Rattus norvegicus: one gene and its partner. The protein of the gene in region 1 purifies or fractionates together with the protein of each later gene. This does not show direct contact. Links are inferred from orthologs where the notes say so. Each region holds a gene or a part of one and is shown on either strand. Other genes may lie near its edges.

Region 1 (4,015 bases):
TGAGTGACAAACTCTTCCAAACTGCCCTCCCGCCATGGGAAGGGACCTCAAGAGAGTTACCTCCAGAATAAGAATAATACGGCCACCAGCAAGGCCCATCAGCAGGTGGGTGAGGTGGGCATAACCCTCAGGTGTCACTTGGCAGCCTCCCAGTGGGTCCCCTTGGGCAGCATCAAAGCCAGCTGATATCAGCACCAGCTCTGGGTTAAACTGCAGTAAGGAAAAAAGAGAAGATGGCCTGAAGGCTTGGGGAAGCAATAAGTGATGAGAACAAAGGCACATGACACATTGACACATCGGAATGCAAGACAAAACCCAGAGGGTTCGAGACCAGAGATCTGAAAAGCAGCTGCAGAAGACAAGGTCACAAGGAGAAACAGACATCGCCAGCCTGGGAAGAGACAAGAGTATACCTGCCAGAAACTCAAGACCCTGGGAGAGGCTGGAGAGATGGCTCGGTGGTTAAGAGCACTGGCTGGTCTTCCAGAGGTCCTGAGTTCAACTCCCAGCACCCACATGGTAGTTGACAACTGTCTTACTCCAGTCTCCAGGGGATCAGATGCCCTTTTCTGGCTTTTCTTTTTTTTTTTCCCGGAGCTAGGGACCGAACCCAGGGCCTTGCACTTGCTAGGCAAGCGCTCTACCACTGAGCTAAATCCCCAACCCCTTTTCTGGCTTTTCTGGCTTCCATAGGCATGAAGCACACATGTGATACAAATATATATGCAGGCAAAACATGCATACATATAACATAAATAAATGTTAAAATCTCTTGGGAGACACTATAAATTGACAGAAGAGGGCATGATACAGAATCATGAGATAGATATGGCTCACAGAGAGAAAGAGACATGGAGACTCAGAAGGCAGGAGATAGTGCCAAGAGAAACAGAGACAGAGACATAACCTCTCTCACATACAAGAGTAAATATGGGACACACATGCACATGATACAGGCTTTTATACACACAGACTATAGACTAATAAAAGTGTCGTATACCTCCACTCCCAACCACACAGTTCCATACTGACAGGGCTGCAAATCCCACCACTTACACATATGTGCACTTGGTTTCTCACGGGGACAATAATACACAGCCACCCCTGCACAGGGCAATGATACACTTACTATGACCACAGTGCCAATGGTTACAGACACGCTGTTCACACCCACAGGAGGGCATGCCCAATCACTTATAAGCAGTTACACTGACACAGAAAGGGTGGACAGAGTTGTGTCCTCACTGCAGTATCAGTCACACACATGCCATTGCCTTGTCCTCAGGTCACACCAGGTCACCCCTGAGTCAAAGCAGCCAGAGAGACCCATATACAGACATGCAGACCTGGTTAGACGGAGACAGATGAAGATGACACCTACTTCCCACATTCAGAGAATCTTTCTCAGGCTATCACAAGACAGATGCATTCAATGACAGAGAATATCACACACAGAAAGGAGATGACAGCAACTATGTAACATTGTACACGTGTATGTCTTTGACACGGTTCCACAAGGGCATCTTTTAGGGATACTCTTACAGCCATGCACTCAGGATAGCAGACAGATTCAGAAGGCACACACATGCATATATACACATAGCCAAGACAGTTGGTCACATATAAAATGTCAGAGAAAGGCCATTTACAAGCATGTGCATGGGCAGACATATACATAAGGCCATCACCCCTGTCCCCTGTCTCAACAGCCATCATATGATTAGTCACCTGGTAGTCAAACACAAATGTCAAGGAGGCAGATGTGTGCTGCCACTTACAGCCTTGTCATATAATGAGCCGAGCCTTACCTCATAGGCGATGGGAAGTACCAGCCGATGCCACGTAGCCAGGTAATCAGCATCCCCCATGCGGGGCCCATTCCAGGGCACATTGACAGTGAAGCCTGTACCTGCAGCTCGCCCTACTTGGCTACTGGCACCCTCATCCCCCATGGGGAAGAAAGTACCACGGTCATACCGGTGCAGGGACACGTATAATACACTGCCAGGGAGAGGGTGGGAGGAGAAAGGGGCCACAGCAGGTTAGGGCTATGAGCATGGTCGCAGGATGCCTCACCCTCTGGTACCATCCTCTTGCCCACAGCTCCATCACTCACCTGGGGTCTTCCTCAAATATGTGCTGAGTTCCATTCCCATGGTGAACATCCCAATCCACGATTAGGATCCTGGGGAGGGAGAGAGCTCTTTTAGCAGCTTGGGACACTTAGGCCTAGGAGTGGACCACTGCTGGCTAGGGTCCTCAGAAGCATTTGTTGCTGGGTAACAGGACCATGGAGATAATGAGAAAGCATTGCTATTATTGTAAGAATGAAGGTCCAACCTTGGTTTCCTGAACCTATGGGGCTGAACAAGAATTGAGGTTAGGCCCTAGATTTTTCTAGGGACTGAATAGGGAATAGGGTCCCAGGCCTGGTTGGCTAAGGGTCACATGGCAAATCCTAGGCCTTTTGGAGTAAGTACTAGGAGCCCAGGCCTGGGTTCTGTTGGGATAACCTGTTAGGGAACAGGAATGCTGGTGTGATAGCCTGGATCCCAGTTTATTAAGCACCTAGATGCCATGATTGATGCCTTAACACACCCATCCTGGCTCTTTTGTAGTCAAGCGCTGCTGAGTGGACCCTTGCTTGCTTCTGTCTAAGTTCCCAGGGGTGACCATAGGTCTACCAAGGAAGACTAAGGAGTAGCCAGGTCACTGTAAAGATCAGGTTTTAGGGTGTCTGGGGGGCGGGCCTTACCTCAGGGCACGTCCAGCAATGACTTGGGCATGGCGAGCAGCTACAGCTACAGAATTGAAAAAGCAGAAACCACAAGCAGCATCTGGCTCCGCATGGTGTCCTGGAGGGCGCACTATTGCAATGCCATTCAAAACCTGTAGAGAGGAGCAGGGAGACTGTATCTCTGGCCCTCACTCTCTTCTTCTCTTTCTCCTGACTACCAGTCACTAGGCCATTCACCCTCTCAGCAGACTCTCCTACTGCCTGTGCTCTCCTAAGTGGCAGCAGGTGGTCCCTCTTTCTATTGTCTCAGGACCTCATTTCCTCAACTAAACTGCACCGGCAGGCAGAGAAGACAGATGGACGCACCTCTCCTGAAAGCACGGCTTCCACCAGGCGGCAGGCAGCGCCTGTGGCAAGCTGTGCGCAGGCAAAGGTGCTGGGGCAGATGTAGATGGACTCAAAGTTGGCACCTTCACGGTGCAGATCCCGAGTTTTCATCTTTTCTGTGGCCCGAAGACGTTCCACATACTCCGCACTGAAGATAGAGGAACAAGAGTTACTGGCTCGTCCCCACAGAAGAACGGTGGGGACCCTGTTACCTAGGTAACAGGGTCTCCCATCTTGGAGAGTCCTAGGCTCTACTCCTAGCACTTCCCTCGAGTCCTACAGCTGGCCCGCTGCTAGCATGGGGTCTGACCTGTGGCACGTAAGGAGTTCAGAATCCAGGGCAGGCCGAGCAGGTAGGATGAGACAGCGTGCTGCAAGGCCCACCTCCTCCAGGTGACACATGATGCGTAGGATGCGCTGAGGTGTCTCAGGATGATGACTAGTAGTGGGAGAAAGCAGAACCAAGGGTTTAGGGACTGAGGAGAGCGAGTCAAGCACCACTTAACCCAGCCTTCTGAGCACATACTTGTCCCACAGGTTGCAGTGACTCATCATTCTTTCGTCATAGACCAGCCCAGTGCGGTTCTGGAGCAGTGGCCATGTATCCATTGGTAGAGCAGTGGCCTCCCAGTGGCCTTCCTCCTCTTCATCCTCTAGCATGTCTCCTTCCACTTCATCTTCATCCTGGGGCTCAACTATAAAGAGGGGACTCAGATCACCCTACTTCCTGAACCTGGATCCCGGCACCACACTCTGAGACAAAAAGTGGCCAGGACAAAAGCCCTGAAATTCACACAGCCCTTTCCAACAAGGCAACAAGAGGAGATCTGAAAGACAATACCCTCCAATAGCTCATTCTAATGGTGATCACGGCCATCCACCACTTACCTG
Region 2 (4,720 bases), on another chromosome or scaffold:
ATTTGAAAAGAATCCCTTGCCCCATATTCTAGGGATATTTGTATATCCTATATATTTGTATTCCTTTTTCTATGACTCATTTCTTTTCCTTCATTTATGTAGTTACATTATTAATAAAAGCCAGTAAAAGAGATTCAAGGTCTCATTATTTATTTGTTACTCTTTAAAGACTTATTTTTGACTGGACTCAGATTTAGAAGTAGAAGCTCTCAGCGAAGACAGCCTACGTCTCTTGGCAATCTGTTCCTGGCGCTTCTCTTTGGCTTCCTTCATTCTCTTGGCCAAAAGTTTAGCATATTCTGCAGCCTCCTCCTTGTTTTTCTTAGTGCGTTGCTTCTTCAGAGCAATACGTCGGCGTTTGTGTTGCAGGACACGGGGAGTAACAAGACGCTGAATCTTGGGCGCTTTGGTCCTGGGCTTCTTACCTAAAAATCCAGATGAGTAATCACTTAACATCCACCATGCTGGATGGCGATGCCCAGTGTATAACACACGCCTAGCACACCCAAGCCCAACTCAGTCCCCACCATCTACCCAAGGCCAGTGCTGTCCCCCAAACATAAGTATTACTCTGGCCCCATGGTCTGCATTGTTATAACCCCACCGTATTTTCAACTTCTCATTTATGTTTTAATCCTATTTTCAGTCCGTGCCTACTATTAGAAATTAACGGTATGTTATAAATTATTCATTTTAGCCTTTTGGATTTACACTCCTTACCCCACATTACAGGCCTCTCTAGAAACAGAACCCTGCTATCATCTCAGCTCAGACCCTTGTAAAATAAGCTGGATAGCCAAGTTCTGCTACAGTTCAGCCACTCTGAACTGCTCATGAGGGGATGATGGACCATTTTTAAACCTTTTGTCAACTAAGTTACACATTCTCTCTAATAGCACACTCTTAATACAAGTCAACAGTCCTGAGTTATTTGTATTAATATACATGCTATGCTTCCTACTGAAGCATTAACATTATGAGGGCTGGAGAGGTGGCTCAGCGGTTAAGAGCAGACTGTTCTTCCTGCTCTTCCAGAGGACCACAGTTCAATTCCTAGCAACTACATGGTGGATCACAACCATCTATAATGGAATCCAATGCCCTTTTCTGGTGTTAGAAGGCGCAACAGTGTACTCATATACATAAAAGCTTTAAAAAGTATGTATTTGTTCATACATTTCCCTTTAAAATGGGTGTTTCTCCTGATTTTCACAATCTATGTCCCAGAGATGAAAAATATGTGGAGCCATTCATTAGTAAATTAAAGTGGTTCTTCTGTAATCCAAAGCACCAACTTAGAGCCTGGTCCCTCCAAAATGTTGTCTCCTGCAAGTTGTCCTTTAACCCCCCCAACATACACACAAAGTGCTTTAAAAGTTTTTCATGTTAAAATGAGAATACTTTTGTAAAAAATCCTTGTCGCTCCTAATGCCGAAGCCATGAATTTAGCTGTGTGGCAAGCACAGCTGCAGCAATAGCACAAAGGCCCAAATCCCTGTTACCTTCTTTGTTTAAGGGCTTTCTGACAACATACTGGCGGACATCATCTTCTTTGGAGAGATTAAAAAGCTTTCGGATTCTACTAGCTCTTTTAGGTCCCAACCGACGAGGCACAGTGGTATCTGTCAGTCCTGGAATATCCTTCTCTCCTTGAAGAAACAATCGGAATTAAGACATCAAATCTGTCCCACTTTGGTCAATGCCCCACTACCTAGGAGGCAGAACCTTGTGTCCAGGACAACCAATTTCAACTAATAAACTCCAACAAAAGCCTTACCTTTTTTTACAATAACCAAGTTGAGAACACTCAGGTTGGCATCCACAATGCATCCTCGGACAGACTTGCGCTTCCTCTCTCCAGTTCTCCTAGGTCTATAACAAGAATGCCCCTTACTCAAAAGCAGGCGCACTCTGCCATGGGTCAAAACGCCTTGCTTCATGGGAAAACCTTGTTTGTCATTCCCACCGCTGATCCGGACCACATAACCCTGCATCGAACATAAAACGGTACATTTACCAGTTCTGTTCCAAAGTGTGGTTCTTAACTTCTTGTGTGCAACCCCATTAGGAAGAACAACTGAGTTCAACTTCAGCCACTCACTTTTTTGTCTCCGTTTCCAACTAAGGTCAACAAGCAATCTCTCCATTTCAACTTCTACTCCTAACTACCCAGGTCTTACTACAACACGCAAGACTTAAGGCCTTGAATTATAACAAGCAAGAGAGACTCCTCTTGGCACGTTTCCCCAAATTTGATTCTAGCAATGAAACTTAACCAAACCCAACAGCACTTGCTGTGACGAGTTGGGGTAATGATGCCAAAAACTTTACCTTCCACTCTTCACCAAGAGCATCAGCAGCTACTTCTGTGGCCATGCGCTTCTCATAGAACGTACGAAGCTTGCGTTCGTCATCCACTTCTATGAGTTTCTGACAGCCAGTGGCAGGGAAGGAGATATTCAGCTAGGATTTTAAAGGGGGCAAAAGAAGACGACTTTAGGCACCTACACAACTTCAACAATTCACGTGCGCAGAACGTTTTGAGCAGCTCCCACACACAGCAGAAAACCCACGACTCGGACTCGCAGGCCCTGCAAAGTGCCACACGTCAATGGAACATTTTGCCAAAGCTCTGTAGAATGCTATGAGGACGTCAGAGCATTCACCCTCGCGATCTCGGATAGCAGAGTGTCCAGGAGGGGTCAAATGCCGCGGGACACCCGCTGCAAGTGGGGCTTCAGGCCCGCATGTGCCCGGTCGGGTACCGGGCGCCGCCATTGCTCTACGTCCGCTGTCGCGGCGTTGCAATCGCCCGCCATCCGCTCTCCCAAAGGGTCCCAAGGCCCTAAAAGCAAGCTTCCTCCTGCCTCAGACCCTTCCCCGCTTAGTCCGGGTTTTGTGAAAGCCTGGGGCTGAGGCAGTCCCGCGTTCTGGGACTCGAACTGCTTCACTCAGTCCCAGTCAGGGACGCCTACCTTCATCTTGACACAGCCGACCGCCTAGGAGGCGTCACGAAAAAGAGGCCCGACTTCCGCTTAGCCCAGGTCACATAGCACTCTAAGTTCTCGCGAGAATAGCCCGAGCTGGAGCCGGCGGAAGTGAGTTGAGGTGGGTGGTACTTCCGGGGGCGGTACTAGCCGGAATAATGTGAGGCTGGTTTGTAGTGAGGTGTTGGTTGGTATTCTGGATGTTCCCGGTGACAGGGCAACTTGTTTATCACGAATGTTAGCCGCTTCTTAGCTAATTTTTCCCGTTTCCGACCAGACTGGTCCACTGAGGAGCCGAATCCCCGTTTCCGACCATGGTTTTTAGTAGTACCTAAATGGAAAAGCTCGATCAGAATTGTCGCCCGGGCTGGCCTGTCCCTCATCTCTGCGGAAGATTTCCAGTTCAGGATCTTGTCCTGGTCCCAGCGGTTGACGGGAGAAATCTTGAAAGCCAGGCTTTGTTCTGCATCGATCAGAGTGACTCCTATAGTCGCCGGACCGCAGAAGACAAGCAGTCCAGCCGATCCATCACGTCTACCTGGCACAGACAACTATCAGATGCCTCAGTCTTGAGCCTTTCGGCTTTCTGTTTTCTTCTGCCAAAACTTTCTGCTTTGTAGGTGGGGTGAGGGTGACAACTCAGATCGGAGATTGAACCTAGTCTCCCGAGTGTCACTGTCATCTTCAGCTCTTTTTCAAAACAACACCATTTCTGTGCTTCTCTTGTTTACTGCAGTTACATGCTGTTCTGTCCGAACTCAATTTTTGAGACTAAGTGTCTTTGTATAACTCTGGCTGTTCTGAAATTCCCTATGCACACCATACTGGTCTGCTTACTACTGTCACCCATTTCTGACAATGAAATATTGATTAAGCCCATCATGCGATGGAATCAAATGGGAGTTGCCTTTTTATAACTGGCTGGTTTCATTAAATGTAGTCTTTAAGGTTTATATTTTATTGTATGATGGAATTTTCTTTTAAAGGCAGTGTGTGTGTGTGTGTGTGTGTGTGTTCACATTTTTGTGTACTGATTCTTTTGATGAACATTCAAGTTGCGTACACAACATCCTTGAGTATGAATGCCTCAAGCCCTTTAGACATTAGAAGGTGTCTGATCCCTTTGAACTGGAGTTACAAATGGTTGTCAGCTGCCATGAAGGTTCTGGGAATTGAATACTGGTCCTCCGTTAGAGTGGCTACTAGTCTTAACCACTGAGATGTCTCTCTAGACCCTGTTACCTATTATTTTTAAATTTTGGATTGTTAGACCTGCCATTAGTGACTGCCTCTAACCCCTGCGCTATGGAAACAGAAAGACAATTTGCTACAAGTTCTTGGCAGTTAGGTCTATATAGTAAATTCCAGGGTAGGCAGAAATACATACAGTCTGAAGCAAACAAGCAAACAAATGAGATTGGGCTTGGAGAAGCTTGCATGAGATATTGTATATTCTAGAGGCAGGCTTTCACTCTGCAGCCCAGGCTGATGTCAAGCTCCATGGTGGTAGGGGATGACTTCTGATCCCCATGCTGCTACTTCTCATAGGCCTGTGTCACCACTAATCTGCTTATAATTATTTTAGTTCTTTTTTTAAATCTTTTTTTTTCTTATTTTATGTATATGAATACACTATAGTTATCTTCAGACAAACCAGAAGAGGGCATCTGATTATAGATGGTTGTGAGCCACCATGTGGTTGCTGGGAATTGAACTCAGGACCTCTGGAAGAG

What was found.
Region 2: the proteins of Hdac6 (region 1) and Rps6 purify together in Homo sapiens (affinity purification with mass spectrometry; 3 studies listed by BioGRID, with this or other methods). This does not show direct contact. The link is inferred for Rattus norvegicus from reciprocal best matches to the Homo sapiens genes HDAC6 and RPS6.

What each region holds. Positions count from the first base shown.
Region 1 is NC_086039.1:17,236,571-17,240,585, reverse strand, and holds part of Hdac6 (histone deacetylase 6), read right to left. Parts: coding exon 4,013-4,015; intron 3,820-4,012; coding exon 3,651-3,819; intron 3,564-3,650; coding exon 3,435-3,563; intron 3,273-3,434; coding exon 3,104-3,272; intron 2,890-3,103; coding exon 2,756-2,889; intron 2,186-2,755; coding exon 2,117-2,185; intron 2,002-2,116; coding exon 1,809-2,001; intron 211-1,808; coding exon 61-210; intron 1-60.
Region 2 is NC_086023.1:106,417,545-106,422,264, forward strand, and holds Rps6 (small ribosomal subunit protein eS6), read right to left. Parts: upstream 2,997-4,720; 5' UTR 2,982-2,996; coding exon 2,976-2,981; exon of another isoform or gene 2,464-2,975; coding exon 2,332-2,463; exon of another isoform or gene 1,989-2,331; coding exon 1,778-1,988; exon of another isoform or gene 1,650-1,777; coding exon 1,503-1,649; exon of another isoform or gene 426-1,502; coding exon 172-425; 3' UTR 136-171; downstream 1-135. UniProt on the Homo sapiens protein: Component of the 40S small ribosomal subunit. Plays an important role in controlling cell growth and proliferation through the selective translation of particular classes of mRNA.